Linked DNA regions of Rhinolophus ferrumequinum. The protein of the gene in region 1 purifies or fractionates together with the protein of each later gene. This does not show direct contact. Links are inferred from orthologs where the notes say so. Each region holds a gene or a part of one and is shown on either strand. Other genes may lie near its edges. The genes, in order: CDC27, TTK, CDH1 and CDC26.

Region 1 (7,567 bases):
GAGGGGAGAGAAACACCTTCATAAAGGGAAATTTATATCCTGCTTTTAAGCAACTAGGGGAGGGAAAAGAGCTCTCTCTGTGTTTGCTGTTTCTTAATTCCTTTCAGCTCAAAATAATCCTTATGCCAAAGTGGAATGTTCTAATCTCTTCACTAGAATGTAGAGTAAAAGAGGGAGACAGGTGAGATAAAGCTGAATAAGGAGGCAAGGCCTAGACCTTAGAGGGCCTTACAAGACAAGTTAAAGGGTTTGGACTACATCCTCAGAACAATGGGAAATCCTGAGTTATGGCGTAAGGTTTAGGGAGGGGAGTTCTGACACGATCAGACTTATTTTTGGAGGTAGGTAAAACTGGAAGCAGGAAGAGACATGAAGGTCTATTTAGGAGGTAAAGTTAATAGCTCTTTGTGACTACCGTGTTTCCCTGACAATAAGACCTAGCCAGACAATCAGCTCTAATGCATCTTTTGGAACAAAAATTAATATAAGACCCGATCTTATTTTACCATAATATAAGACCGGGTCTTATATAGTATAATATAATATAATATAATGTAATGTAATGTAATGTAATATAATATAATATAATATAATACCAGGTCTTATATTAACTTTTGCTCCAAAAGACGCATTAGAGCTGATTGTCCGGTTAGGTCTTATTTTTGGAGAAATATAGTATATGCTAGGGTTAAAGAAAGAGAGTGGTCCAGGTTTGGACAGTGGAGAAGAGGGTGATGCCTTAAACAGGGATAGGAAATATTTCAAGTTCTATGTGGCATGAGGAGTTTCCCTGAGGACAATGTACCTGTGAGATATTCGGATAGAGACACCCAGTTGACAACTAGGCATTTGGGTCTGGAGTTCTAAGAAGCAGTCTGGCTGGAGATACAGATTTTGGAGTAATTTTAGATGAAAATTATGAGAATGGATGGGTTTGCCTAGGAAGAATGTGTAAGGTGAGATGGCCTAGAACAGAAGCATTCTAATGTTAGAGCGGCTGCCAAGGAAACGGATAAAGAACAGAGCAGTAGAAGGAAAATGAGGAGACTGTGTGATCAGAGATGACAAAGGAAAGGGATAATTTCACCAAGAGGAGCCAACGTGGGGGGCGGAAAGAGCCTCAAGGTCATGTTATATAAGGAGGATAAAAGGCAGCATGCAACAGGGACAAAAGAAGGGGACAGATAAGGAAGACTGAAGGAATTCAGAATTCAGAATTCAGAGGTAAGCTTACTCTGGGCTATATTTCAGTGGTACCTGCATCTTGCCAAAGATACCATGTCTAGCTTCTTGAATAGTTTCCTAAATGCTGGCCTCAAAATCTGATGGAACACAAAACAGACCAAGAGGCAGGCTAAGGAGGAGAGATAATTTACCATGTTTGGGATAATGCTTATTGTAACCAACTCCACTCACCAGTGAAACATATATGGATAATGGATGACAGCAGGATGCCCAAGTGCTTGCTGGATGGTGAGTTTAAGTAGGTCAATCAGGAACAGAGAAAGAAGTAAAAATCCTCTAAAAGATCGCATCAAAGAACAACTTCAAACAATGTGGTCTTGCTGCGCACATAGAAAACTACAACAGATGTGTTAGCCCACTGAACAATAGTCAAAAAAAAGATGCCCTTTTTTTTGGGGGGGGGGCAAAAACCTTTAGGCAAATTCTAAGCTTAAGAGCCAGAGTGCCAAACATCACAGACTGTTTAAATGCTAACTCTAGATACACATATTCACACACATAGCAATATCATCTTTATGGATCCTGTATTTTAAGTTCCTTCATTTAAGTTTATAAGAATTCATTGCACAAGTGTAAGACTTGGGTTGGCAGCACATTCTATGGAAAAAGAGCTGTGTTTGTAAAATGAACACAAGCTTAGCATGAGTGAAGTGTCATGTGACTGCTAAGAAATGCAAATACCACTTGAGTCTATTTTAATAGAAGTGTCCAGATAATAAAGAAGTAGTTTTACTGCATTCTGAATTAGAATAAATCTGGAGAGTTGTGTCAGTTAAATGCATCAGATTTTAAGAATAATGTCTTACCCTTTCCATTTCCACTACCAGATTTTCTCATCTTGTACCTGGTAGATGTACAAAGATGGACTAATTATCAAATGCTCTCATCGCACATGCCTTTTGGAATTTCACTTTGCCATAAATTCTCCCATGAAGAAGTGGAGTCTATTTCTCCTCTAGTTGAATGCAGGCTGGCCCTGTGTCTTTCACCAACAAGAAGTGACGGGGTTTGGACCTAGGTCTTAAGGGGCCCAGGTCTTACCGGCCTAGGTCTTAAGGGGCCCAACAGCTTCTGCTTTCATCCTCTTGGTTGCCAACCACCAAGTCAAGAAGCTAGAGCTAAACTACTGACTGATGAGAAGCCAAGGTTGAAAGAGAGCTGTGGAGAACTGAGGAGCTCAGTCAGCAGCTAAGACCAAGTCCTCAAACATGTGAGTCCTTGCATCTTTCAGCCCCAGTCAGACCAATGATGGTAATATTCTTTACCTGTGCTATCCAGTATGGAGGTCAGCCACGTGTCTATTAAGTCCTTGGAATGTGGCCAGGGCATCTAAAGAACTTCATTTTTAATTTCACTTGAATTTAACTAAACTTTAAAATAGCGAGTAGCTACCGTACTGGACAGTGTAGAAGACTATTGCCATTCAAATTCACCCAGCATAACCCTGTTAAAAGAACAGATCACAGAAAATCACCTTAGCACCTACCCTTTATGGGGCTACAAGTACATAAGCAGTGATTACAGATGGCTGGTGGACATGCCAGTTGCTTTGTCGACTAGTGTTTAAAAAAAACAGTCACACAAAGGAAGAGAGTGACCCATTCTAATCTGATTTCATCTGTATAAAATAAGAACCAGAAAGGGAAATTTCCATACAGTGGAATATACTATGAGTACCACATGTAACCTAGAAATGTTCTAACTAGAAAATTAACCTTCTGGTGGCTCAGATGGTTGGAGTGCCATGCTAACGCTGAGGTCGCCAGTTCGATTCCCACGGGGGCCAGTGAGCTGTGCCCTCTACAGCTAAGATTGTGAACAAAGGCTCTCCCTGGAGCTGGGTAGCCGTGAGCAGCTGGAGGTTGGTGTGGGCTGCCGGGGCTGCAGCGGGCAGGCTCCCGCAGGCTGCTGTGCGGCCGTGGGCTACCGTGTGCTGCCAGGCGCGGCCCGTGGCCAGCGTAAGTGGCCTATAGCCATTGTGAGTGGCCGGCGGCCGGCAAGAGCTGCTGTGAGCTGCCGACTGACGACTGGCAACCGACTGCCTTAGCCGGGGGAAGCACCAGGCTCATAACACCAGCCTGGGCCAGGGAGCTGTGTCCTACCCAACTAGACTGAGAAACAAGGGCTTGAACCTGAGTGGGGGCGGGGAGGTGGAAGAAGGGGGGAAATTAACCTTCAAAAATGATATTTCTCATCTCCTGAAAAACAAAGTTTTACTAGTTCTCTGGTTCACGTATTTTTTGGGGGAAGGGGCATAAAAGTAACTTGAGAGAGCCTACTGCATTAGACAGCCACATACATTAATATATTCATCTTATTTTTTTCAGACTAAGAACATGAAGTTCAGAGAGTTTATAACTTGCCTAAGGTCCTAAAAATACGTAGTAGCGCCAGAGATTAAATTCAAAAGCAAGCCTCTGCCTTTCCAATCCCACACTCTTTCCAATACACCAGAATGCCTCTGCAATCAAGAATAAAAATTTCTGCCTGTCTTTTGAGATTGTCCATGATCTGGTCACGTAATATTTCCAGTTAATGCCTTCACTCTTAACAGACTGATCTCATTTCTGCTTTCCTTCACTTTCCTTTTTTTCCCCTTCTCATTCTAACCGTTCTTCAAATCCCAATTTATCCCGTTTTCCTTCTGTGAAAAGTTCCTCATCTTAATCCCAATTAATTTCCCTCTTCTCTGAATTTTTACATCATTTCTAATGGGCCCCACACAAGGTAGCAGCACTTTTCCCTTAAATAGACTGTAATCTCTTTGAGGACAGGGGCCATACTAAAACTTTGAAGGATGGAAATTTCCTATTTCCCTCTAAGCTATGAAGAGATACTTCTGGAATGGATAAATGACCTGCATTCAATAGGCAAATACTTCATGATTAATTAAACTCAGCCTCAAACTCCCGAGTTTTACCCTTTGCTTAATCGACCGCACACGAATTAATCCAGAAAGCTGAGCGGCGAATCAAGACGGCAGCCGGGCCACGTAACGATCCCCTCCAGCTCCAGCACGACACGCCCAGCCCGCTGGGTGCTGATTGGGCGTGGCCCAACCGAGGGTGGACGATTGGGCGTGGCGTGCGTGAGTAGAGGCGGGGCCGAGAAGAGGAACCTATGCTCTGGGTCAGACTCGGTAGTCTCCGACAATTCTCGACAATTTCCGGCAACGGTCTCCTCCTCCGCCGGTTCGCCTCGGGTTTTTCCGGCCTCCTTCGGGCTTTTCCGTCTGGCTCCCGCGCGGATCTCTTCACTTCGGGTATTTCCGTGTCCCGCTCGGAGGTGCTCGGCAATCGCTCGGCCGCCCCCATCCCCCGGTAACGGTCGCTGGTGAGTTTAAATGAGCCGGGGCTGGCCGGGCCGGAGCCGCTACGGGGGGGGGCCTGAGGCACTGCAGAAAGTGGGTTTGAGCCTCAAGGATGACGGTGCTGCAGGAACCCGTCCAGGTAATGATAACCCCCTTCTCTGAGGCTTGGCTCGCGGCCCCAGTCGGGAAGCCGCGTATGGCTACTCCGCGGCCTGGTGCGGCCTAGGCCCGGCTGCTTCTCCCGCCTCTCCTTATGCCCGGTCCTGCCTGTCTTCTCGTCAGTTCGGAGGCCTTGCCCACAACCTAAGCCGTGTTATCTCTGGGCCTACGTTACTTCTGCCCCTAGTGTGAGCGGCATTCGGCGATAATACCTTCCTTTCCGAGCCGACGTCCGGCTAGCCCTCCTGTCAGTCTAGGGGCCTGGTCCTGGCTGGGGTGAGAGATGAGGGTGGGCGGAGGGTGGCGGGGGAAACTCGCCCCAGGTGCTCTGTTACCTAAAGGATGATTGGGAAGCACATTTGATCAGAGCTTGCGCGGTCTTCATAATGGTGGGGCAAGTTGGTGAGGGGGGTGGTGGTGGTTCGGTTTGGTTTTTGTCTTTCTGTGAGAGGTTGGAGGGATCGGTATTTTTTATACTAATTTCTATTTTGGTAACAGACTGAGTAGCCCACGTTGCTTTTCTCGTTCCGTGAATTTCCCACTGAACAATAATCTGAGAACTCCCAAGGCCTAGTGCTGAGGTGCAAGCACCTATACAAGGGGAGAGGGTGGAAACGGCAAATCGGGGGTTTTTTCCTTGGCCTCTGATGGGGATCAAGAATGTTTCAGTTCACGTTTATAAGGCGTCCAGGAAATGAAAGACCAAGAATGGTTTTTCCGTCTGTCTCACTGCCCTTACCACACCAAGGTATGCTTTGACGCACGCTGCTCTGTTGGCATGGAAGAAGCCCGATTGGATTTGAAGTGTGCGATGCAGTGCCAAGTCATTTCCCCCCTGCCATCTGAAGGAACTGAATCTTTTGTCCCTTGGTGATGGACCAGGTCTGGTCTGGGAGACTTTCGATCCACCATTTGATCTTTGACTTGATTTAAAAAGTTGACCTCTATCAACTACTGTCATTGAGTCATGGACTTTCTTTATTTTGAAGTTATAAAGCAAATCGAGTTTAGAAGTTAATTCATATTACCCTTAATAGGCCTGTGATAGCAAATAGTAAATATTTTAATACATTACCCCTTCGTATTACCTTAATTCTTCTTCACCAGATGAAATACCAATTTCTTCTAGTTGGCTTCTTCTCTAGCCCTTTACATATAGCAGCTATTATTGGTTGAATTAATATAATATAGGATTCTAGTTTAGGAAATTCACCTGTTTGTAAGTTGTACTAGTGCTTCCAAAGCTATTTCTTAACATCCAGATTCCTCTTACTAGTAAAGAGTCCCTTTTAAGATTGTTTTTTTTTTTGAGGCCTAACATGAAATTAGAAGTTGCTATCTGTACCTTAAATGGATAAGTAGATCACTCAGTTGTTTAATTTGTCTCATATTCTTGTAATTTTGCCTTAATAATGGATACATTTGCCTTCTCTTACCCCAAAAGGCTTCTAAAATGATAAGCTAGTTGTATTGCTAGCTTATAACTACTATTTAATAATAATTTCAACTTGTATAAAAATGTGGAGAAGAAAAGAAATATATAAGCTATTCCTACACAGTATTCCTCAGGTTTCCTTTTTTTTTTCCCTTAAACTACTCTTGGCAGTAATACACTTAGGTATTTTTAAGGCTTAAAAGTCAAATTTGTTTTTTTTGGGGTTTTTTTTCACACTACCTTTGGCCCATTAGATTCAGGGATGGTGGTAAGAAGCTTTCGGATATGGCTAGGTGAGAATTTTGGTTGTGACTTATAGTATACAAGTAAGATACCATTCAGGAAGGGATCTGGAGCAGTGGGAGGAACAAGCAACTTTGGCTACAGTGATAAAGATCAACTTTAATCAGGAATAGTGCTGAAAATGGAAAGAATTAGGAGGAAAATAAAAATAGGACAGATAAATAAGGTACTATTTTTTTTGTTAACTGGCGAGTGATTGTATGCATATGTATAGGAATGAGAGTAAGATGGAAAGTTGTTTCCTTTCTTGGCATAACTCAAGGTATTACTGGGCATAGGAAAAAGTTGAGAGAAAAGGTGAGCAACTGTTTTCTGCTTTTTTTTTCTTTAAAATTTTAATGTGGGGTACTCAGTGTGATATACCATGTAAGCCTAAATATAAGCTCCTCCATATTATTTCTCGTAGTAAAAGTGTTATTTGTCTGTGGGGGCGCAAAAAAACCAACTTTTGCCCCACCTTCTGTTTTCTTCTAGCTGGGCTAATTATCAGATTAACATGAGACAGGTTAACAGGAGAAAATGTCCAAATTTTATTACAGATGTGCATGACGGGGTGTCATAAAAATGAGACATGAAGACACATTGGACAATTGAGGTTTATGTGCCATTTTAGACAAAGGTGAAGTGGAGCAGGGGTCTGGGATTTCAAAGGAAAGTAGGCAATTCACAGGTAGACAAGAAAGAGCAAACATGTGGTAAACAAATTCTTGCTGGGCTACCCAGAAACAATGGGTCACAGAAGGAAGCTCAACAAACAGGCTTTGCTAGGCTTCTCACTTTCTTCCACATTTAGTTTATATTGAGGCTAAAAGAAGGTGATGCTCCCCTTCTTTTTCTATCTGAATTCCTTTAGACAGGTAAGGGGGGAGAGTCAAAGGTTCTGAGTCTTTTGTTTCTTAATAACCAGCTTAAAATCATTATGCCAGAAGGCATATTTTGGGTTGGCAAAACTTTGGTTCCCCTCAAATCTTTACAAAAACCTCTCCTATTATGAGACAGAATTCTGTTAATTATTTGTAATATAACTTTGGGAAAGAAACTCACATAAATGAGTTCAATCAGTGCTAATTTGGATGTTTATAAAATTCACCTGATGAAATTGATCTAAAAAAGCA
Region 2 (8,006 bases), on another chromosome or scaffold:
GTTGGTTTCTCTGCTTTCAGGGATCACTGCCCTGTAATGCTGGATATCTAATGCTTGAAAATGCTTGTTTTATTTATTTTGTGCAGCTTTTGTTGTTGTTTCCAGAATATAAATCTGGACCATATTTCTCCGGTTGGCTGGACTCTAATTATATGTTTGAGAATTTTTTTTTTGTAAGCCGTAATGTGTGGTGTCACATTTATCCCTATACATTCCATGTTGTTAACTTTGTCTTTATTCTCTTCTAACATGTTGGTCTTGCTTTAATTAGTATGTGCAAAATTAATAATCATTATTTGTATATGTTTGCCACACAGATAAAATATGTAGTTTAAAACAAGACCAAGAACAGAGTTCTGAGGCCTTCCACTAGGGGTCAACCTCAGGTTCTCCTCAAACTCCTAAGCAATGTTCTTTGAGAATTAAGGTCTACAGAGTTGCAGAATCATCCCACATTAACAGCACAGAGCTTACATGCTCCTCTCTTTTTCAGAAAAACGATAAGAGAGTCTTTATCACTTTCTTTGCCAGAGTTAAGATATTCTATATTTCCGGCCTTCCGTAATTTTAGAAAAAAATCAAAATGAGAATTTAGTATATTCTATATGGGTTGTTCTTAATGAATCATGCTGGTATCTAGAGATCTCTGCTCCCAATCAATTCTATAAGCTTCTCCAGAATTGAGCTAAAAGTTCACATTATAAAGACCTACAGCTTCCAAGTGCTACATTTTCTAAAAAGAAACATTTCTCCATTTCTGATTTTTTGTCCCTGTTCCTGTTTATCAAGACTTTTCAGAGACTGCCAACAGTTTCTGGGATTATAAAGTCAATTTTTTCAATGTTCTGTTTAGTTTCTCAAGTACATTACACAGCTACGTGAGTTTCCTTCTGATAGCAGAGATTGAAAACATGACTAAAATAAAAAAAAATTCGTGTCAGATAATTTGAAATTTAAATGGCTTTCCTATATAGTTTCACATGACAAGAGTTTCAACAAATTCATTTTTAAGATTGCCAGTTTGAATACTATTCTCCATGGCGGAGGAAAAAAATAGGAATTCTACTTTTTTTTTTTGTCATTTGTTAATATAATCTGTTGCCTGAATAACTAAACAATATCTGATGTCCAAGTAGTGGTCCCAAACTATTACTGCTGCTTTTCTTGTTCAGAACATAATCCAAACTGTTATTGCTGTTTTTCTTCATAATCTATGAAGTGCTTTGTTGTCTGTCCTTGCCATTTCATTTTCTTTTGGGTAAGGCTTGGTCCATTCTGTGCTATGTAGCTTTCCTTAAATTATTCTTTCAGGTTCTCACCATTCTTATAGGTTCACACCATTCCTATATGCACCAAAATTAGGTACACTAATAACATATCCCTGAATAAATCACCAGAAAGCAGTGCATGACTTATTACATGCTGTGAGAACTACATTGATTATTAATTAGAAATTTAACCTCTGTACATGCACAAAGTAAATCCAAGTATGGGAAAAAGTTTCTGAAACTAAAGTTTGGGACTTAGTGAACTCATAACAATGACTTCAATAATTGAATTATAAAGGCAACTGTGTTGACAGAAAATCATCAGATTAGCAAAAAAAGTGACATGATGATCAAGCCAAAGTTACATGGTCCAAGCTTTTATTTATGTAACAAAAATAAAAGTGAAACTTTCCCATCTCAACATAAAATCAAAATCCTTTGGTGAATTGTATTGTTTTATGGAAGGCTTGCCTCTGAAAATAAACACGTTTATTCACTGCCAGATGAAGCTGGTTTTAAACCAAATGAGTAATTGTAATATTATCTTGAGAAGAACAACTTCACTTCCTTATTCTCTTTGTTGGTGGCTCCTCATTGGTCTATTATTGCAATGGCCTTGCTGAGCAGCAGCTAAGGATCAAAATCTATTTGGACAGAAGAATCACAGGCATTGATTCTGCGTCAAGTAGGAGAGCTATGGCCACCCTACAAGTAGAGAACTAAATACTACAGTGAAACTGTTCATCCCAATATGGTATATTGTTACATGTCTCACATGTATACAATCAATATAATACTTACCCAAAAATTGTACCTACTGTTTCTAAACAGCTTGTCATGATATTCTCTGTCAATAAATAGTTGCTGAGTGTGTGTAAGACATAGTACAAAGATTTCTTGAGCATTTACAAGAAGTATAAATGGTTAAAGTTTCCTCCTCAAGAAGTATACAAATATGTTTTATATATTTCTTGGAAATAGGATTCTGAAATACTCTAATAGTCATAAAGGTTAGTATTTGGCTAACATTGATTGAATGCCTACAGTGTAGCAGACACCATTCTAAACACTAAGGATATTTTAATGAACATAGTAGACATAAATTCCTGCACTTATGGAGTTTACATTTTAATAGGGTAGGCGGAGGAGAGTCAAATAAATAAATACAATAAACAGGTCAGATAAACTATAGGATTTCATAGCCCATTGCGGTCCTGTGGACATAAAGTGGAAGAGTCACATATGTAATTTTCAATACCCAAATTAAAAAAGTAAAAAGCAACAGGTAAAATTAAATTTTAATTTATTTTTTTTATTTTGGAGTAATTTTTTATTTACAGAAAAGTTTCAAAGATAGTACAGTTGGCGTATACCTTTCACTCAGTTTCCCTACTGTTAAGATCTTACATTACTGTTGTTCATTTGTTCAAATTAAGAAACCAACACTGGTACATTACTGTTAACTAAACCTCAGCTATTTATTATTTGGATTTCATCAGTTTTTCCATTAATGTCTTCTCTCTGTTCCAGGATTCAATACCACATTGCATTTAGTTGTCATGTCTCCTTGGTCTCCTCTGGTCTGTGACAGGAGATATTAATTTTAATAATATATTTTGTTTAACACAATATATCACAAATATAATTTCAAACTGTAATCAATATTTTTAAAATTACCAATAACATCATTTTACATCATTTTTTCATACTAAGTCTTCAAAATCCAGTGTGGTATATATTTATAATTACAGTATATATCAAACTCAGACATTTTCATAGGAAGTACTTAACTGCATTTACAAAATTTACATTTGAAAAAGTAGATTCACATACCTGGATTGTTCCAAATATACTTAAACGTTTTCCAATAATTGTACTTAGTATTCAGTTTTAATTTTAAATTAACTTTAATTAAGGTTAATTAATTTAAAAATTCAGTTCCTTGGTTGCACTAGCCATACTTCAAGTGTTCAATAGCCATACATGACTAATGGCTACCATATTGAACATTGCAGCTCTAGACTATTGTAAGGACTTTGGGCTTTTATCCCGAGACCAGGAGCTCTGACAGGTTTTGAGCAAAGAAGTGACACGATCTGATTTAAGATTACTTTGCTGTACTGGAGAATAAATTGAGGTGAGGCAAGGTCAGAAGCAAAGGAGACCAGCCAGGAAGCTATGGCAGTAATCCAGGTGAGTGATGAAGGTGCCAGAGACTAGGGTGGTAGCAGTGGAGGTGCCAGTATTCCAGGAATAGCTCATTAGATCTGACACTATTTATGATTAGATGTAGAGTCAGGAATGACACCAAGGTTTTTGGCTTAAAAATAAAACAATGAAAGTTTCCTTTGCAGAGATTTTGTAAGAAGCAGGTTTGAGAGGAAGGGGGAAAAATCAGGCACTCAAGTTGTGGGCATTTTGAGTTTAAGATGCATTTGAGACGTTTAAGTGGAGATGTTAAGTAGGTAATGGGTATATGAGTCTGGAGTTCAGGAGAAAGAACTCAGCTGGAGACATAAATTTGGGAGTCATTAACATATAGATGGTACCTAAATATGTATGACTGAAAGAGATCACCAAAGGAGTGAATGTGCAAAAACGAGTGTAAGGGTGAGGTTATCAGCAGCAATATTTTCAGAAAAATGAGTTTTGAGATCAGGCCCCTAAGAGATCAACAAGAACTGGTGAGATGGTAAATTCCTTCCGACTAAAGCCAGTGTTAGAAGCAACTGTGCAAAGGTGGTGATTAGCCAATCATGATACCGTGTAGCAAATCATTTTGCTCTACTGAAGCAAAAATACATAGCCAGCAGGTACGGACAGGTGCACTAAGTGACAAAGGGCTTTCTTGCTAGCCAAAGCTGGGAACGCGAGGGCTCTGAGAACAACTTTGTATTAAATAAGTGGCAGCTGCAGTTAATTTCCTACACATACACAAAAGAAAACCTGTCCTACCATAGAGCATGTCAGGATGCTGATAAAAGACATCTTGTTGTCCTGGATCACAAAGCCACTTATCAGAGCCCCGCACCCGTGTAGTTTACTCGAGAAGTGACCTTTCCCAGAGGACACCTGAGCCCTTACTTGGGACAAGCTCGGAGGGAGGGGCGCTGATAAGCCGAGTTCAGACATGTCAATCGTGACGGGCATCGGAGTTCTGCGCAGAATTCTGACGAAGGTAAGGACCATGGAATCACTTAAGGGTAGAATGAGGGCACAAATGGGATCTCAAGACAAAGCACTGAGATTTTTGAGCTGGTGGCAGGGCTGAAGGTAGCTCTGTGAACCAGCATTTCTTGCCACATCCTCCCTACGCTCGGCAGTGAGGAGCTTGGAAGACGCAGGAGTGGGGTGGTGGTCGGCGGGAAGGACTAGCTCACAGGGCACCTTTTAGGTCCAGATGCTGAGAGCAGCGTTTCCGCCCCTGTTATCCTCTCAACGGGTGACTCTACCCAGGAATGGCTCCCTCCCCGAAAGAGACTTGCTCTGGTTAAACTGGAAAGTGCAGGAAAGCCGGCCCCTGGCGCCGGGGGAGTGCCAGCGGAGAGCCAGCGAACCCGGACTGAAGCGCTGCGCAGGTGCAGATCGGGAGACGACCCTTCCGGGGCGGGACTCGCTGGTCGCAGAGGGAGGGGCGGGGCTGACGCACACCAACCAATCACAGCAGACGCTTCCACTTGGCCAGCACCGACCAATAGGAGGCCGCGACAGTAACGGCGGGGGAATTCAAACGTGTTGGTGGAGAAGGGTTCGGATTCCATTTTTTCTTCTCAACTCGGCTTTCTGGCGGTGATTTCGGCCTCGCAAGTGCACGGGGAACGGCGGCAGCTCGCGGGACGGTAAGTGGTGGGGGCGGGTCGGGGGCGGCTCAGAGCCGGGTAGACGACGTAGGGCGCGGCTAAACGAGCTGCAGGGGGAGGGGAGCTCTCGCCGCCTCCGCCAACCCACCGGGTGTAGCCCGAGATTTTGTTGAGGATCCAGGAAGCAAGAGGTGGGTGTAGACCTCGCTGGGAAGAGGGTCTGGCGGGGCACCTGGGGAGAGTTTGGGGACACGAGATTGTCTCCCTAAAGGTACTTCTTCTGTTGTCTGGTGTTTTAGAACAGAGAGAGGAGATGGTGGCTGTGTTCTGACAGTTACCTTTCGATCCTGACTTGAAGAGGTGATATCTAGATGCCCAGTTTATCGCCCCTTTTCATTGTTAAAGTCAAGGTCAGTGGCGGCATTGATACCAGCGACACTGGGTTACTGGGTTGATGTTTGAGAATTACAAAAATGAGATTGACAGGAAGACTGCAGACTCTTTGTTGACCAAACATTACCACGATGCAGATGAGCAAGTGCTTGGTATTATATGAATACAGTAGTCTTGGTATTAGAGTGATTAAGTTAGCAAATCATTAATTCTGCCACATATGCGCAAGAACAAGCCTGCTGTGATCCCACTTATCAATAAAGGGCTGTGGTGGTGTATATATTCTGCTTTGAAAACCTTTGCATTGTGCAGGTTTACTCACATAAAGCAGGTGAATAAAGCAATGGTTATTCACATTGCCAAAAGGATTCTTTATGTCTAAATGTCACTAACAAAATCCAAACAAACATTCCATCACATTTTTTTTTAAATGGCAGAATTTGCAGATGACCCAGAGAAAATAAATGAAAAAGAGTGAAAGGGAGGTGTTCAGTGTATAGAAGAAAAATGAAAAGCTTTAAAGGGGGACAGCAATTTCTGTATCATACAATGACACAGTTCTATTGGGACGAAAACACATACTTAGCCTATTGGAAAGTTTGATGGACAATTTTCAAATATGTGCAGTTGTTTTTGTGCACATAGCTTCACAAATACTACCTTAATAATATTTGCATTAAGATGTGTTCATATAACTAATGCTTTATCCTTCTGGATTCTAAAAGGCTAGTTGCAAGTTTTTTTTCTTTAATGGTAGTAAAAATAAGAATTATGACCAGTTCAGTTATTTTTTTCTTAGAAATGGAGGCCGAGGATTTGGGTGGCAGAGAATTGACAATTGATTCCATAATCAACAAAGTGAGAGATTTTAAAAATAAATTTAAAAATGAAGACCTTACTGATGAGCTAAGCTTGAATAAAATCTCTGCTGATACCACAGGTGAGTTCCTTTTTTTTTTTTTTTGAGTGCCCTCTAAGGTTAAAGAATGAAATGTTAACCACTGGGTGTTTGCGTGATATAATTTTCTCAGTAATTGATGCTTACCAATTAGAGTACTGTACACACTTTTGTATGGAAATATTCCCACAATTTTCTGCTTTCTGAAAAAGGAAACATTTATTACAGTGTACTCAGAGGTAGTTTTCTGAACTCTTCCATTATTATCAGCTGTTATTTCTGCTAATATGCCTGCCATCAATAGTTGTGCCATTTTTTTCCATTCCTTTCTTGCAGCAAACTAAGAAATCCTCAACAATCTTAAAATTATATATAAATTCAAAGTCAAACATTTTGTTTTTTATTTGGAGAGTGTTCCTATTAGTCTCTTGGCCATTTTTTCCTGTTCTGGCTCCCTCTGTTCCAACCACAGCGATGTCCCTGCTATCTCCTCTTTATGCCAGACTACCTCCTAGCCTAATGTCTTTTCTCTTGCCCTCTGCTGTGAACACGGCTCCCCCAGATATCTGCCCATTCTTACCTCCTTAAGGTTTTTGTTCAAATGTCATCTCAGTGAGGGCTTCCCTCACTCACCTATTTAGCAATAGCAACTTGCTGGGGTGGGAGTGTGCCCCCTCTCTTCCTTTCCTGTATTGTTTTTCTCCACAGCACTAATCACCTTATATCTGATATACTCATGTGTTTATTCCCTGTGTCCTCTGCTAAAAGGTGAGCTCCACGAGAGCATAGTTTTTATCTGTTTTGTTATATCTACACAGCTGATAATGGTACCTGGCATATGGTAGGCACTTAAATATTTATTGAATGATGAATGAATGAAAATGCTCAAGTTTTAATACCTGGCTTTATGAAAACTAGCTCAGAAGCCTAAATATTTACTATATTTCAGATTGTTATGGTTATTTGAAAGATGACCTTTGGATAAGTTTGTCATATCTGTATAAGCATTAAATGGATGAGGAATTGAAAATAAATGGAAGAACCTGTAATCTAGTCATAATGGCAGATCATATTCACTTAAAACATCCCACAAACTAATTATTTTTTGGTTAAGCACATTCTTGAGTATCACCATGCTTTGTTATGTGTATTTAACGCTTAAAAAAGTTTGTATACTAAGGTAGATGGATCCTTATTTGAAATCCTTAGCTCACTCAAAGCTGTAAATACCTAACATATATTGATAATTAGGATTATTAGATTGACTGTATTAGATGAGTTAATTATATCTAAGTATATTAGATTAAGTATTGAGGAAGATTCAAAGATGCTTAAAATCATGGTTTCTAAATGAGAAGCATTTAAGAATCCACTGTGCTACATTATAAGGTATTTGACAACAAAGGAATACTAACACAATAAAGACAATACTTTAAGTGTTGAGTAGAGGGAGAAAGGAGTACTCAGAGGCATGAGGAATAGATCTGTAAAGACTTTTTTAGACACTTTGCAGATTAATTTGTTAGGAAAGCAATGGGAGGTAAAACTGGAAAATGAAGTTAAGATCAGACCAGATTAAATGTAAAATAGAAAAGCAAAATTATGAATGTGCTATGTTTTAGTAGAAAGTAGAAATGGTAATTTTAT
Region 3 (7,191 bases), on another chromosome or scaffold:
GAAAAGACGTGGCGGAAACTTAAATGCATACTACTAAGTGAAAAGTCTACATACCTTATGATTCCAACGCTATGGCATTCTGGAAAAGGCAAAAGTATGGCCACAGTAAAAAGATCAGAGGTTTACGTGAGTCGGGGGGGCGGGAGGGATGAACAGGCAGGTGGAGCAGAGAGGATTTTTAGGGTAGTGAAGAGACTCTGTTGGCACTGTAATGGTGGATACATGTCATACGTTTGTCCAAATCTATAGAATGTACAACATCAAGAATGAATCGTAATGTAAACTATGCACTTTGGGTGATTATGATGTGTCAATATAGGTTCATCAATTCTAACAAATGTACCTCTCTGAAGGGGGGAGGCTATGTATGTGTGGGGCAAGGGGTACATAGGAAATCTCTGTACCTTCCTCTCCAATTTTCTGTGAACCTAGCACAGCTCTTCAAAAAATAGGATTAATTTTTTAAAAATGCAGGGGTGAAACGATGAAACAAGATTTGGTACAATTACAAAGTTTACAAATTATAAAAATATGTAAATTACAAAAAAATAACTGTTGGAGCTAGATGATAGATACATGGTGTTTCATTACACTACACATGATATACACTTGACTGTTTTCTTTACTTAGTGTTTGAAATAAAACAGTTTTTTTGCAGACGGGAGCGGCTGAGCCATAAAGGGCGGCACCCCTATCAGTTGCCATCATTTTGTCAGAGGGCAGAAGCAGAATATCCAGTTCCCTCCCCTGCCTGTTGGCAGGCAGCCCAGCCCAGCAGAGGTGTGAGGAGCCCCCAGGAACAGGTAGAATGGATTCTCCTCTCCCAACACTGCAGTGAGCCTGATCTGGCTACAACCCCTAACAACTCCAATTTCCCTAGGATTCCTCCCAGCAGGGCTGGGGGGTTGGGTTCCTCTCAGCAGAGCCTGGGGCAGGGGTGCCCCACCCAGTCAGGGTACTATTATTACCGCCTTTTGCCAGGAGATGAAAGGGACCAGGGAATTAATCATTTAATCCCTGGCTGACCAGTTGCCGGGACATCCAGGAAGTGAACGTCCATCAGAGACACAGCCTGCAATAAAGAAACCTGGAGTTTGTCATCCCAAGGGTGGATGCCCGGTTAGCACCAGTGGTGGGCTCTGTCATCTACCTGGAGGGGCAACTGGCAAGGACTCTGGTGAACATTTCTTTCTCCTGTTGATGCCTGAAATTCTACCATTAACATTAGACGGGCCCTCAAAGAGATCTCAACTCGAAGGTTTTGATTTTTCTTAACTCCAGTTGAGACGCTAATGAAGGCATTGGACCTCAGCACCTGCACTGACAAGATTGCATATAATCTCAGGGGTTCCACGACCCCCCCACCCCCACCCTCAGTCCATCCACCGACACCAGGTTAAGAACCCTGGGCGAAGTTTACTAGCTCCAGAGTTTTCATTCTTTGAAAGAAGCACACCTCAGAACCCTCTTTAAAATGCAGATGACCCTGGGAGGGTTGAAATGACTAACCAGTCAGTGTGAAAGTTTTCTCAGCAGAGGCCAGAGGTAGCCTAAGAGACTTTGATGGTGGGGGGTGGGGAATGGAGAGCCTGGGGGTGGGGAGGCTTCAGGAGGGCTCACAATTTTGCTGAGAACTGGTAAAGGAAAGGAATGTACTGAGCCAAGAGTGCTAACAGCTAACTTTAGGGCACTTATAAGAACCTTGTGAATTAAATGCTATCAACATCCCCGTTTTATGGATGAGGAAACAGACTTGAAGAGGTCAAGGGACATGCTCCCCAGCTAGTGGCAGAACAGGAATTTGAATCCTCCATCAGCCTGAGACCCAACGCCATCAGCCGCAGAGCTCAACATCAGCAGCACAGGCTCATCTTCGCCTGCTCATTTGATCCTCAGAATTGGCATTTCCTTTTTTTGATGGAAGAGGAAACTGAGGCCCACAGTCACACAATGCCGCACCTCCACAGGGCACCTCTGTGTGTCCCCTCCTCACCTGGACAGCTGAAAGAGGGCAGCCCTTCACGGCCAAATCCCTGGAGCTTAGAGAAGGACTTGCCGAGAAGTCTGAAGAGAACGTCTCTCCCAACCTGTCCTCACTGCCCCTAATTGTTTTCTAAAATCCTTTTTATTGAATTATCAGAGTGTAATGGAAGAGTCGATGAGAGTCGCTGCGGAGTTACAAGGCTAGGGCTTGCTGGACGGAGGAAAGCAAAGCCCTAAAGGCTCCCTGGGATGAGCGATGGTATAAAATATGTATTTTTACATAACTGGGAGAAAAAAAATAAACGGACAAGGCTGCCCCATGGGGGAAACGCCTCTTTCTGTATTTCCATTATCTTGTTTAATGCACAGTCCAGCAGGAGCCTCAGTGGGAAAGGAAATACTGGAGCCTTTTCCCTTTGAGCCTCCTGGTGGGTTAAGAGGCAGAGAAAGACAAGATGCAGAAATCTAAATGGTCTGGGCGTGTGCTCAGAAACCCATTAAAACTGAAGGGACAGGTTAGGGGGGAGGGGCAGAGCTGACCCGAAATAGTGTCTTGGTTTGAGACACCGCCTCTCCTCTGGGGTTGAGAAAGTAGCTTCAGTGGACTCAGATTTACCTTTAGCTCTGGATGGAATATTCTAAACATGACCTTTCCCCATGAGGAAGGGGAAAGGAGGTAGTCGTTTCCAAAGAACGACCTCCACATTAAACATCTATTGAGCAGTTAGTTGCTACTAGATGCCAAGTACTCCGTTTAGTGACTTTCTTGCATCAGCTCCTCTCAACACATTTGTACTGATGATAACATGGACTTGCCCAAGGTCACAGCTAGTGAGCAGCTGACTCCACACACTGTTTTGCAGTTCCGACCATGCTTGCGGAGTGAAGGGAAAGATGGTATCCTTGTCAGGGTAGGCAAAACACATAGATGCGGCTGGCCCCTGGCAGTCAGACAGGGATGATGTCCGACCTAACATTTGCATACCTTTTTTTTTTTGTTTTGGATCCTAAAATTATTTTACTGGGGATAGAATTCTCTAGAAAAGGAAGTGGTGGCTATGGTGTGGTAAGAGCCCCAGTCTGGGGATCAGGAGATCTTGGGTTCTAGTCTTGGCTTTGACGTTGACTTGCTATGGGACATTGATAGTTATTTGCAAATAATACGTTTGAATGATCTCTAAAGGGTCTCTGGCAGGTCACCATTTACAGGACAGATTGAAAACTACAGCTGCAGCTTGAAGACTATCCAGGGCCACATGAGGTGAAGCTAATAGAAGAAATGGCCCTGGAATCAGGAGGTTGGGTTCCTGCCCTCCAGCATTTCCTACTGGCCTCAAATTCTTTATGCCTCAGTTGTCTGTCTATCAAATGGGTTTAATAACAAAGCTCTTGGGTTGTTTGGAGGCGAGATTAAATGAGATGGCCAATGTCAAATGCTTAGCACAGAGCGTGGTACAGTAACTTGCAATGCCCAGCATCTATTGTTACTATCATCATTCACATCTGTACAGAGCTTTTATGGTGAGGAAATATTGGTCTTTTAATTGTATGTCAACGTCACAACAATTTAGGGAGGCATTTGTGATTAATCTCATTTGGAAGATGGAGAAACAGGCTTAGAAAGGTGGGTGCTGCCCAATGAACTGATTTGCAGACTCACAAACCGGTGGAGAGCTGCAGTTAAAAAGAACTAGATAAAGGATAAAGCCCAGGTGCTAGTGTGCACCCACCGCGAGGCCGGGACGCGAACCTGGTGGTAATCGAAATCCTGGAGCCCCTGCACGCAACCCTGATTCTAACAACCGCTGCGCCTGCGGGTTGCCGGGTCGCGAGGCAGCGGGGCGGGATCGGGGGCGGGCCGTTCATTCCCTGCCTGCAGAGGAAGCTGGGACCGAGCCGCATCGTTCATTGGCTGCAGCCGGCAGGTGCATCCTCAGCCAATCAGCGGGGCCGGGGGCGGGGCCTTCGAGGCTCACCTGGCGGCTGAGGCGCTGCCCCCCTCACTGGCGTCCAGAGCCGCAAAGCACCTGTGTGTTCGCGGAACTTCTGCCAGACCAGCCCCGTCCAGCTCCGCCGGACCCGACCCGACCCGCGCTCGGCCCGCCATGGGCCCTCCGTGTCGCTGCCTGTCCGCGCTCCTGCTGCTGCTACTGCTGCAGGTACGTCGTGTCCCTCTGGCTTTGCGGGGGACGCCTTCCGGCCCCACCTTCCGCGACCCGGCCCCTAAGTTCCTTCCTCTCTTGTCCTCCCTTCCTCTCTCCTGTCGTCCGCGCTCCCTTTTCTTCCAAGAAAGTTTGGGTCCAAAGAGCCTGAGCGGCCTGGAAGCTGCGTGGCGCTCTGGACTCAGCGGAGATGGGAGTGGGAGCGGGAGCGGGTGAGGAACTAGCGCGGTTTGCTCAGTGCCCCGAGGGGACCTGAGGTGGGGGCGCGCCTCGCTGCAGGCTCTAGGGACTCCGGGTTGGCCGCGGTATGGGCAGTCGGTGGCGCAGGGTGGCGGTCGGGATGGGGAAAAGGGGAGCACGGGTGCAAGTCCAGGGAGAGCCAGAAGTAGTGGGGACGATCCCTGAAGTAAGGAAAGGGGAATAGAAATAAAGGTAACTACCAGGTAAAGAAAAGGTAGTAAATAGGTATGGGGGCGCCCTCGGGATAAGAAAGTGGGGTCAAAAGGTGTTGGAGCGCCTTCGGTATGAGGAACTAGATTTAGGAGTGGGAACGTTCCCGGTGTAAGGAAAGGGGAATTGGGAAGAATAAAGATAGCTCCAGTGAAACGGAAAAGGAGACGGGAAGGAAATGGGGTGCTAGGTCGAAAGGAGGTGACCCAGCAGGCTCCTCTCCCCGGCGTTCCTGGGGGCTTGGCTGCCGCAGGTCTCAGATTGAGTTTGGCGTGGCTGCCTGCCGACGGGGTGGAGGGGAGTGGAGGTGGGTCCCTCCCACAATCTCGACGCCGGGAGCTAGGGAGGAGCGGTGTTGTCGGTTTCGGTGTGGGCTGGGAGGGACCCCCCAGGTCACCCCGGTTCCATACCTTTCCCCTACCCCAGGTCTCATCATGGTTCTGCCAGGAGCCAGAGCCCTGCCGTCCTGGCTTTGGCGCTGAAAGTTACACGTTCACGGTGCCCCGGCGGCACTTGGAGAGAGGCCGACTCTTGGGCAGAGGTGAGGGCGCGCCGCCGGGGTCCCGGAGCCGGGTGGTGGGAGGGAGTGGGAAGGATCCGAGAAATTGTGCTCCCATTCCCCTGGGCTGGATTGGGCAAGCCCCTTCTTCCGTGGTTCAAATGACACCTTTAGAATTTACACACATGTAGGAATCTAAACTTTATCATGATTGAGCACTGTGGTTGAAGGGGCTATCCTGGTGCGGTTAATTATGTTGGGGGGGGGAGGATGCTTATTAGAGCCTTCAGTGTGTTTCCTAGTGTCCTGACCACGTTAGAGGTTGTCGTTTCAGACTGCACAAACCTAATATGTGGGAAGGGCAGGAGGGAAGTGGTAATTCTTATTTAACAGATGAGCAAAGGAAGGCTCAGAGGGTGGAGTCCACTTGCTCAGGGTCAGTTTCGTGGGAATTTGCACTAGCATCTCTCCCAGGCCCCATTCTGCAACAACTCTGGGATGACTGAGGAGCCCTCTCAGTTATCAGGCTCTGGCTTTTGCTCATAGAGATGACAACATTTTGATACAGGTACTATTTCCCAAAGGAATAATAGTTTTTAAAAAAAACCTGGTAGCTCTGACTCAGGGAATGAAAACGTAACACAAATGTACTTCTGGGCCTTATCGCTGTGATAATCAGAATTCTAGAGTTTGCTTTGTTTTACTTCACTGTGGCCCAGGAGTGAGGGCAAGGGCAGGTTGGTTTCTTTTCTGGTTTCACTGATTCCCAGGTGCTTATTTCCTACCAAACCACTTTCTCCTCCCTTTTGATTTTAGTTGATTGAGCGAGTTATCATAACAATAAAGGAAACACTTGCGAAACAAACAAATAAAAAAATCACCCACTATTTCCCTGAGGGAATTCACTGTGTATTCTTCCAGTCTTTGGCCACGTGAAAAATCTGTTCCAATCACACTATTGTCTGAAAAATGTTTTCCAACTCTGGAAGTTCTAACAGTGGGCGGCTTTTTTTTTTTTTTTTTTAAAAACAGAAACTGAACCTTGATTGATTAAACGTTTGCTTTTCTGAGGCCTGTGTTGTGTGGAGCTTTCTGTTGGGTCAGAAAGGAAGTGTTGTCTGCCTGATTTTGCAGTGGGTCCACCGTTCTTTGGCCTCTCTCTTGATGTTCTGCCCGGCCCTGTGCTGGGCACTTGGGAATGAACTGACATACAGGGACATTCCAGTCCTGCCCTCGGTATTGCATGTTCTGGCAGGTTGCTGAGAATGTTCTAGGACTCACTTCAAGGGCATAGTGGGACATGGGCAGTTAGGTATTTGGGATGTTTTGAATGGGTATCAGTGGGCTGTGAAGATTGGCTTCTGGGAGGATAAAAAGTTGACCCACCTTTGAAGAGCAGGTCAGGGGTTAGAAATGGGAGTGTCCCCACACAAGTGCTGGTCACTCTTGTTTTCCTGCGCCAAGGCATTTGGTAGCACCAAGGGAGAGTTAGTCCGGTTTTTATCCCCCACACCCAAGCTTTTACATCTGACCAATAATCGTATTACCTATTAATAATATAATTATTACCATTATTCGCTTTTGAACTGGACGCTGGGGCAAGTGCGTCACATATTTTACCTTATTTAATCTTCCCAAGAACCTTATAAGGGTGGGCACCATTGTTATTTCTATTTTGCAGATGAGGAAACTGAAGCATAAAGCAATTTAGTAAGTTGCTCAGGGAACCACAGCTGGTCTTTCTCCTGCTTTCTCCCCTCCTCAGTAATCTCAAAAAAAAAAAAAAAAAAAAAAGAGGCTGCCTGGGGAATTGGTGTCCATTGTGAAATAGATGTCTTCCTCCCTGTATGTCTGGAAGAGCAGAGGTGTCGACAGGGCAGGACCCCAAGGAGGAGGTGGTGGTGATGGAGATGGGTCAGGCCAGGTGGGAGGTGGGGGGGGGCCTGCAACTGGTGGTCTTGGTTGGAGACGCGGTCTCCAGAAACTGCTTGTGTGACCGGTTCCCGTTCCCTTTATGTCCACAGACCCACACCCACTCAGTGATTTTCTGACATTTCACTTTTGGAGGGCTATTTGGACTACAGGGTCGCCTTCAAC
Region 4 (7,627 bases), on another chromosome or scaffold:
CCAATAAAAAAAATTTTTTTTGAAAAAAGGTAGAATCAAAAGGTTTACAGACATTTTGTATATAAAAGTTGAGAGAAAGGGAGAACTCAAGAATGATTCCTAGGTGTTTCTGGCTTGAGTGACTGAATAGATACTGAAATGGGGAACACTCAGGTGAAATTGGCTTGAGGAAGAAATCAAGAGATTTTGTTTTAACATGTTAAATGTCGGAGGCTGAATGATGACCCCCGAAGCTATCAGATCCTAATCCTAGAAATCTGTAAATGTTGTCTAATATGGGAAAAGGGTCTTTGCAGATGTGATTAAGGATCTTGAGATCCTGAATTATCTGAGTGGACCCTAAATGCCCTCAGATGTGTCCTGATAAGAGGGCAGAGAGAGATTTCACAGACACAAGAGAAGAAGGCAGTGTGATCATGGAGGCAGAGGTTTGAGATCCGGGGGCCAACAGAAGCTGGAAGAGTCAAGGAACAGATTCTCCTCTAGAGCCTCTGGAGGGGGCGTGGTCCTGCTGACACCTTGATTTTGGTCCAGTGATACTGATTTCAGATTTCTGGCCTACAGAACTGAAAGAATAAGTTTCTGTTGTCTTAAACCACCAAGTTTGTGGTAATTTGTTACAGCAGCCACAGGAAACTAATACATTAAATTGGAAATGCCTGTAAAGAATCTAAATAGAGATTTCAAGTAATCTGTTGGTATAAGAATCTGGAGTTCAAAAGAGTTATTGTTTTAAATATTCCTAAGTATTTGAAAGTTGTACTCCTACCTCTAGGTCCTTTCGAATGTTTTCAAACTCCTCAATATCATCAAGCTTCAGCTCCAGGCGGGTTGGTTTTCGTCGCAGCATGCTGAAATCAACACTAAGAGCCAGACCCAGTGAACTATTAGCTGTTAAAAATGGCAGAGAGGAGGAAAACCTGAAGGGGATAAATCTCAGCTACAAATATCAGATCAATTTGTAAGCACGCATGCTAAAATGAATGGCAAATAAAAGACTCATTTAGATTCACACATAGACTTCTAAGTCTTTACGTGTCTGAATATTATATTTTTATTACATGATGGAGATCCAAAACTCTGTAATTCCAAAAAACTGTTTCTTCAAGAATTTTAAGTATTTAAATAGCAAGCTGCCTATAAAAGAATTCTAGGCAACAATCACTTTAATCTCATGCTCCAGTCACATTCAAAGACATATTCTAGCTAAGAGAATAACACTAAAATATCACATCTTAATGTAGTACTATTAGTGGGAGAGCATACAAACCATTAAATTTGATCAACTCTACACGAGAATTGTAAGAGATTTGTGATCACTCCTGAATGCTAAAATCAGTTTACTAAATCTAGGGAAAACTCCCTCTAACTCACCAATTCACAGGGTTATCTTCAGGGTCAAAATAGGTCCTACATGTATGGGGCATTCATTAAACAAACACTTCTTGTGCTCCAGCTGCAGAGTTAAAACGCACAGTCACAGTCTGTGGGGAAAACAAACACGTAAACAGAAACCTGCATACAGTGTACTAAGAACTCTGGTGCAGGAAATGCAATGGCATCACACAGGCCCAATTCATTCTGGGCTGAGTGTGGGGGCAGACATGGAGGATTTCCTGGAGGAGATGATGTCTTGGTCGGCTTGGGAAGGGCAGGTAGGGAAAGGGGATTAAGGGCATACCAGGCAGAGAGAACAAAGATAAAAAGGGGCTCAAGAGTCCACACCAGTCTGAAAACGCAAGGTCATGCTTACGCTAACAAAAAACGTTTTTTGGAGGAAAAAAATATAACTCCCGCACTGAGTTTAAAATCTGTTGATGACATCTTTATATTCTCCACCAAATCCAGTAGAGTGTATCTATAATAACTAGGCAGTAAACGTTTTGTTGAATAAACCAGAGATCCAAATAAAGTGAAGTGAACTTTCCTTGAGCACTGTGGTATGCTTTTCCATTCCCATTCTTTACACTTTTATTTTAACACAGAAACCCTGTGAGGCTGGCAAAATTACCCGTTTTACAGGTGAAGCCAAAGCTGCTCGGTTTGGTTAATAAATGAAAATGATGTAAGTGAAAGCTCCTTTATTTATAGATATCAATTATTATTACATGTATCTAGGATGTAGCTAGGGGCTGAAATATAAAAAGAAAATGTTTCCCTCTCCCTCCCATGAAGCTTGGGATACCTACAGGTGGTATTATCAACCCAAAACACTAGCACATTACATTTCAAATCGCTTTATACTAAATCAGATACTATTTTGATTCCAATGTAGATAAATGATACTGGAAGCCAAAGTTCAGGGGAGGCGGAGATGTTTAAAAGAAAAACACTACTTTGCACTGTCTTATCTTTTCAGCAAACTGAAAAGCTTGTCACAAGGTAGCGATATAGGGTAAAGGTACTTGCTCTGGAGGCAAAGGGCAGAGGTTCTAATAATAATCTGTTTATTTTAAACAATTAGCTTCATCTTTCACAAGATCTTAGTTTCCGTATCTGTTATTGAAGTAAGTTCCTGGAATGTAATTTGGCATTCAGTAAATGCTCAATAAATAACAGCCATTATTATTATTTTAACTGTTCTTGTGGAGAGGCAGGAAACACCTCTGTCCAGCTCTGGGAATCACCAGTATTTTGAGCATCTCCACCCCCCGACATGAGGGCAAAAACCTCGTCTCGTTCGTTTCTGATGCTCCAGCACCCAGCGGACCACAGGGCCGTGGCAAAGTTGTTTGCGTGCATAACGGCTCACATCCATCATCTTACTCTAAATCTGATACGAAGACCAGGCTGAAGACAACAAAATCAGGCCGTGGCTCCTCCGCCCGGTCCTTATTTAACTTTGGCGCTAGAGGGCTCTTCGAGCTTAATCTCTAGCTGCTGCCCAAATTCACCCAGCTCAGAGGGGGCCCCCGGGAGAGAACCTCCCTACAGCGGAGAAGGAAAACAGCTCTCCCGCCGCAGCTCCAAGGTAGCGCTCACAGGTCTACCGCAAAGGTTTCCATAGCAACATAGTCCCAGCTCCAGGACGACGTAAAGCCTCTCGTAGGGCCGGGAGGGAGGGACAGCAGGCCCCGGAAGCCCTCCATTCGCTCCCGAGTTCAGCCCGGAGCCGCGCGACTCGATGCACCTACCTCTTTACAAGCCTGTTCAGCCCCTTCGCGGAACCTCAGTGCCCACCACGAATCTATGCCAACTGGACTACACTTCCCAGACTGCTCTGAGCCTCTCTCCCCGCAAGACCTCGACCTTCGCGTGCGTTTCTCGGAGGCTATACGAGTCACACCTCTCGACACGGCCACAGTCTTTCCTACTACGATTCCCAACATGCTCCACGCCTCCCCGGACGTTGAGTCCACTCGGCCCACTTCCGGTGGGTGACACAGTTCCGCTTTGCTGGGCGCGCGTTGGATTGTCTGAAACGTCGATTGCAGCTTTCGCTGGGACTTCGCGGCTCCGGAGCCCAGCATGTCTTCCTCACGAGCTACCTCCACGGTACAGATCTGAGCTCACCCTAGCGGGGAGCGCGGCGCGGGTGGGGGTCCCTGCGGAATGGGATGGATAAGGCGATGAGGGGCCGAGGAGGAAGGCTGCGAGACTCGGTCTTAGAGAGCCGAGCAGCGTTTTCCTGATGGAGCGCTTTCATGTGCTTAAGCTCAATTGCACGTCTCGTACTGACGCGAATGGTACACACCTCTTCCTACTGGTCCAGAAACGGAGCTCAAGGAAGTAGTGTCCTGGCCAAGATTTATGTCTGTGTCAGACCTCTTAACTGAAGTGAGGCCTCCAAACTACCTACCGGTGTCTAGTGCATCTCGTCTGAAAACGTTTGAAATGTAGAGGCCAGTAACTTGGTAACCTGCTCCCCTTCACACCGCGTTGGTTTTTTCAGTTATCCTTGATAGTTCCCTTGTGATGAGCAGTAACCCTGGAAGTTTCATAAAACCCAACAAGAAATTGCACTTCCAACCGATTGAATTGAATTAAATTCCAAAGCAAACCTTTGACAGAAAAATCACCAAGAGAAATTCAGGAATTTTATCAACCTCTTTCTGTCTGAGACACCGAACACCCCTACACCAATCCCCATCAGTGAAGACACATCTTAACTGGTGCCCTCCTTGTCCTTTCCTTTGGGGAGGAAATAGAATTAAAGTCAAGATGAGCTTCATCCTTTGGGGAAACCTAGCAAATTGCCAAGATTGAGCCTTAGGTTAATCCAGGTTTATGATTTAGCAGGCAGCCAAAACTAAGGCACCTGATGACCTAGTCGCGCCTCTGGTGAAAAAACCGCACATCTATTATGGAAGTTTGGAAGAGAAGGAGAGGGAACGTCTGGCCAAAGGAGAGTCTGGGATTTTGGGAAAAGAAGGACTTAAAGCAGGAATTGAAGCAGGAAATATCAACATAACCTCTGGTAAGATGCAAATTGTGAATCCATCTTTATCTTTGGTGCTCAGATTTTCTGCAATGAATATCTTCCTGGACAAATATCACTATTAATAACGTGTCAAAATTTTCAGTTTTTAAACTTACATCTGTATATGGCCATACTTTGCCTACTCTGCTTAGCATCGTCCAGAGAGCCTTTTGCTTAACACCTTTTAAAGAGTTTTTCCTTCCATGAATTGTTAGTGATTTTGCCAAGAGTTTATTCAGTGTGTATAGCTGACCCTTGAACAACACAGGTTTGAACTGTGCCAGGTCCACTTATATGCAGTGTTTTTTTTTTTCAATAAATACTGTAAATGTATTTTCTCTTGTGATTTTCTTAATAACATTTTCCTTCTCTAGACTATTACGAGAATACAGTACAAGTACATATAACATACAAAATATGTGTTAATCGACTGTTTATGTTATCGGTAAGGCTTCCAGTCAACAGTAGGCTATTAGTAGTTAAGATTTGTGGGAAGTCAAAAGTTCTATGCGGATTTTCAACTGCACGAGGGGTTCCCCCCACTATCCAACCCCACCTGGCTACGTTCAGTAGTCAACTATATTTGGACTCAAATTGATTCCATTTATCTTCTGGAGATCTAGCACAGCTCTGGCACTGGTTTGGAACTACTGTGGTTCATAATATTCTGTTTTTAGTTTCCCAATTATTTTTCTCCCAAAATGAAACATATTTTTTAAATTAAAAAAATATTAGTTATTTTTATTTTGAAAACTAATCAGTGTAGAAATGTGTGAAGTAGTAAAACCTTTCATCCTTATTACTTGGGTCTGTATCTTTCCAAGAATTTAATAAAGCTATAAAAATACATAATTGTTTTCCATAAAGGAAGCCATGATAGACAGATTGTTTTGTAACCTACATTTTTCATTCTGTACTATTAATGATATCTTTCCAAGTCAGTAACTATCATCCACTATATTTTTAAAATAAAATTATACATGTTTGTAATAAGAAATTCGAACAGTACAGAAGGGTATAAAATGAAAAGACTTCTCCGCAGAAAGGGCTTCTGTCAAATTTCTCATTGATCCTTCGACACTTTTTTTTTTCTATACACAAGCACTTTAATGGCTTTTTTTAACCTTTTATGCTTTTTTAAGCATAACTGCATCACCACTATACTTACCATTTTTCATACAAATGCTTGTATTTCGTGTGAGTTTTTTAACTGGCTGCTAGAGAATCCAAAAAGTCTTCTAGTCAATCAAGGAATATCATTTACATGGTAATTATTTGCAGCTTACTAGATTCATTTCTAAGTGTCCCCATAAGGGAACTGTTTTAGAGAATAGCTTTGTCAATTGTTAAAATTATGTTTCTGTTTCATCTTTTGCATAGAAAGCCTAGTTAACTCATTTGCTAATGATGCCCCATACTCCTTATTTTCTTATCTCATCTAAGCTGTGTGTTTGTTTATATAGGTATATATAGGTTTAAGATTGCCAGATGAAACAAGATGGCTTGAACCATTTTGCTGCCTTTTAAAGCTGTGTCATTTAGTTTTTTGTGTGTGGCGTAAGTTAATAAACTGAGAAACTAAGTGTATAATAGATTAGACAGTTAACTTTCACTAAGGGCATACGCAGACTCCAATTGTAAGAAATTATTTCTTTTTTTTAATTTTTTTATTTGAAGAAGATCTGGTGATTATGCTGATGTTGCCTGTTCTCTTTATAGGAGAAGTGTTTGAAATTGAAGAGCACATCAGTGAGCGACAGGCGGAAGTGTTAGCTGAGTTTGAGAGAAGGAAGCGAGCCCGGCAAATCAATGTTTCCACGGACGACTCAGAGGTCAAGGCTTGCCTTAGAGCCTTGGGAGAGCCCATCACACTTTTTGGAGAGGGTCCTGCTGAAAGAAGAGAAAGGTACCCTTTCTAAACATCTACTCTCTTCTTTTTTTTGATCACAGGGTTCTAGTTCCAAATTTATGTTGTTATTTGTAGCAAAAACTTTTAATAGAATGTCTCAGCTATTGTTAACAGAATATCTTTTAAGTTGTGTTTATATCAATCTGAGTCTTAGGCCAATTTTTACTCCACTACTAATTTTCCTTTATAAACTGCAAAGAGGGTGTTAACATGTTTCCTCTCCCCTTCCCAAAGTGTAATTTTGTAGTTGAACTTTGAAGATTTAGACAACAAATGCATTCCTTGTCAATGACATAAAACATAATGACAAGTGGTTTTTGGATATTACTGAAAAGGGGCATTGTCCTCAGATAATGCTCCGCTTGTGCTTTTAACGTTGCAAAGCTCTTGGTGACAGGCTAGTCATATGCAGTGATGAGGCCCTCTTCCTGTCTTTCTAGCCACTGTCCTACTCTCCCCATTATCATTTTTGTTTTCTTGGTTTGCATAGTCTGCGTGTTTAATCGCTTCAAAACCTTTAGCATTCTCTCATGTCCATTAAATAGAACCAACAATGCTTGGCCTGTTTAAATTACAGGGAATAAAAGTACCACTTCTCTTGTACTCCATACTTCAGCCACACTGAACTATTTGTGATTCCAAGCTCAACACACTTTTCTTACCTCCAGACCTTTACATCGTATTTTGAACCCTCTGCCTTAACAGTCCTCTCCCATTCTTGGCCTGTTGCCCCGACCAGATGATTACTCAGGTTAGGTAACACCTCTATGAAGCCTTCCCTGAACCTCCCTCCAAACCTAGGCTAGGTACTCCTTTTATGTTCCCCCTTAGTACCCTATACTTAACCACTGTCATAATACTTAGTATAATGTATTATGGTTCTCTGTTACTTTCTGTCCCCATTCCCCACCCCCCAACCCTGCTCTCTAGAACTCTGCTACTTGAAATCAAAAACTGTTTTCTTAGTCATTGTTGTATGTTAAGCACCTGAGTCAGTATCCAGCACATGTGGCATTGAGTGAAGGTTGGCTGTCTCCACAGACCGAGGGATAGCAATGTTTTGGCTAGTTAGCGCTACATTGAATAGGGTAATTGTGTATAGTTCAATTTAAGGAATCTTCAAATAAAAAAAGATTGAGTGAAAGAAATCACACTGGAAGTGTAGGCATGACATCTTGACTCTTAAAGAAGGTTGCTTGCAGTTTGAATGGTGAGAGTAGGGGAAGCTTGTCTCCCTTCTTAGATGTACTTTTCAAAATCTCAACTCTGTTTAAATTTCGATCTTTTTTGTTACAGGT

What was found.
Region 2: the proteins of CDC27 (region 1) and TTK purify together in Homo sapiens (affinity purification with western blotting; 3 studies listed by BioGRID). This does not show direct contact. The link is inferred for Rhinolophus ferrumequinum from reciprocal best matches to the Homo sapiens genes CDC27 and TTK.
Region 3: the proteins of CDC27 (region 1) and CDH1 purify together in Homo sapiens (affinity purification with western blotting; 4 studies listed by BioGRID and IntAct, with this or other methods). This does not show direct contact. The link is inferred for Rhinolophus ferrumequinum from reciprocal best matches to the Homo sapiens genes CDC27 and CDH1.
Region 4: the proteins of CDC27 (region 1) and CDC26 purify together in Homo sapiens (affinity purification with mass spectrometry; 12 studies listed by BioGRID and IntAct, with this or other methods). This does not show direct contact. The link is inferred for Rhinolophus ferrumequinum from reciprocal best matches to the Homo sapiens genes CDC27 and CDC26.

Annotation. Positions count from the first base shown.
Region 1 is NC_046304.1:41,231,248-41,238,814, reverse strand, and holds the start of CDC27 (cell division cycle protein 27 homolog), read left to right. Parts: upstream 1-4,528; 5' UTR 4,529-4,667; coding exon 4,668-4,694; intron 4,695-7,567. UniProt on the Homo sapiens protein: Component of the anaphase promoting complex/cyclosome (APC/C), a cell cycle-regulated E3 ubiquitin ligase that controls progression through mitosis and the G1 phase of the cell cycle.
Region 2 is NC_046286.1:39,445,300-39,453,305, forward strand, and holds the start of TTK (dual specificity protein kinase TTK), read left to right. Parts: upstream 1-5,029; 5' UTR 5,030-5,107; intron 5,108-5,367; exon of another isoform or gene 5,368-5,478; intron 5,479-6,260; 5' UTR 6,261-6,262; coding exon 6,263-6,401; intron 6,402-8,006. Other genes in the region: uncharacterized protein LOC117015595, read right to left, coding at 2,776-2,850, 4,224-4,437, 4,656-5,029.
Region 3 is NC_046298.1:18,074,384-18,081,574, forward strand, and holds the start of CDH1 (cadherin-1), read left to right. Parts: upstream 1-3,966; 5' UTR 3,967-4,088; coding exon 4,089-4,142; intron 4,143-5,021; coding exon 5,022-5,136; intron 5,137-7,191.
Region 4 is NC_046295.1:65,171,475-65,179,101, forward strand, and holds the start of CDC26 (anaphase-promoting complex subunit CDC26), read right to left. Parts: upstream 3,316-7,627; 5' UTR 3,135-3,315; intron 1,485-3,134; exon of another isoform or gene 1,457-1,484; 5' UTR 1,428-1,456; coding exon 1,375-1,427; intron 921-1,374; coding exon 770-920; intron 1-769. Other genes in the region: PRPF4 (U4/U6 small nuclear ribonucleoprotein Prp4), read left to right, coding at 3,469-3,495, 4,237-4,417, 6,140-6,326, 7,626-7,627. UniProt on the Homo sapiens protein: Component of the anaphase promoting complex/cyclosome (APC/C), a cell cycle-regulated E3 ubiquitin ligase that controls progression through mitosis and the G1 phase of the cell cycle.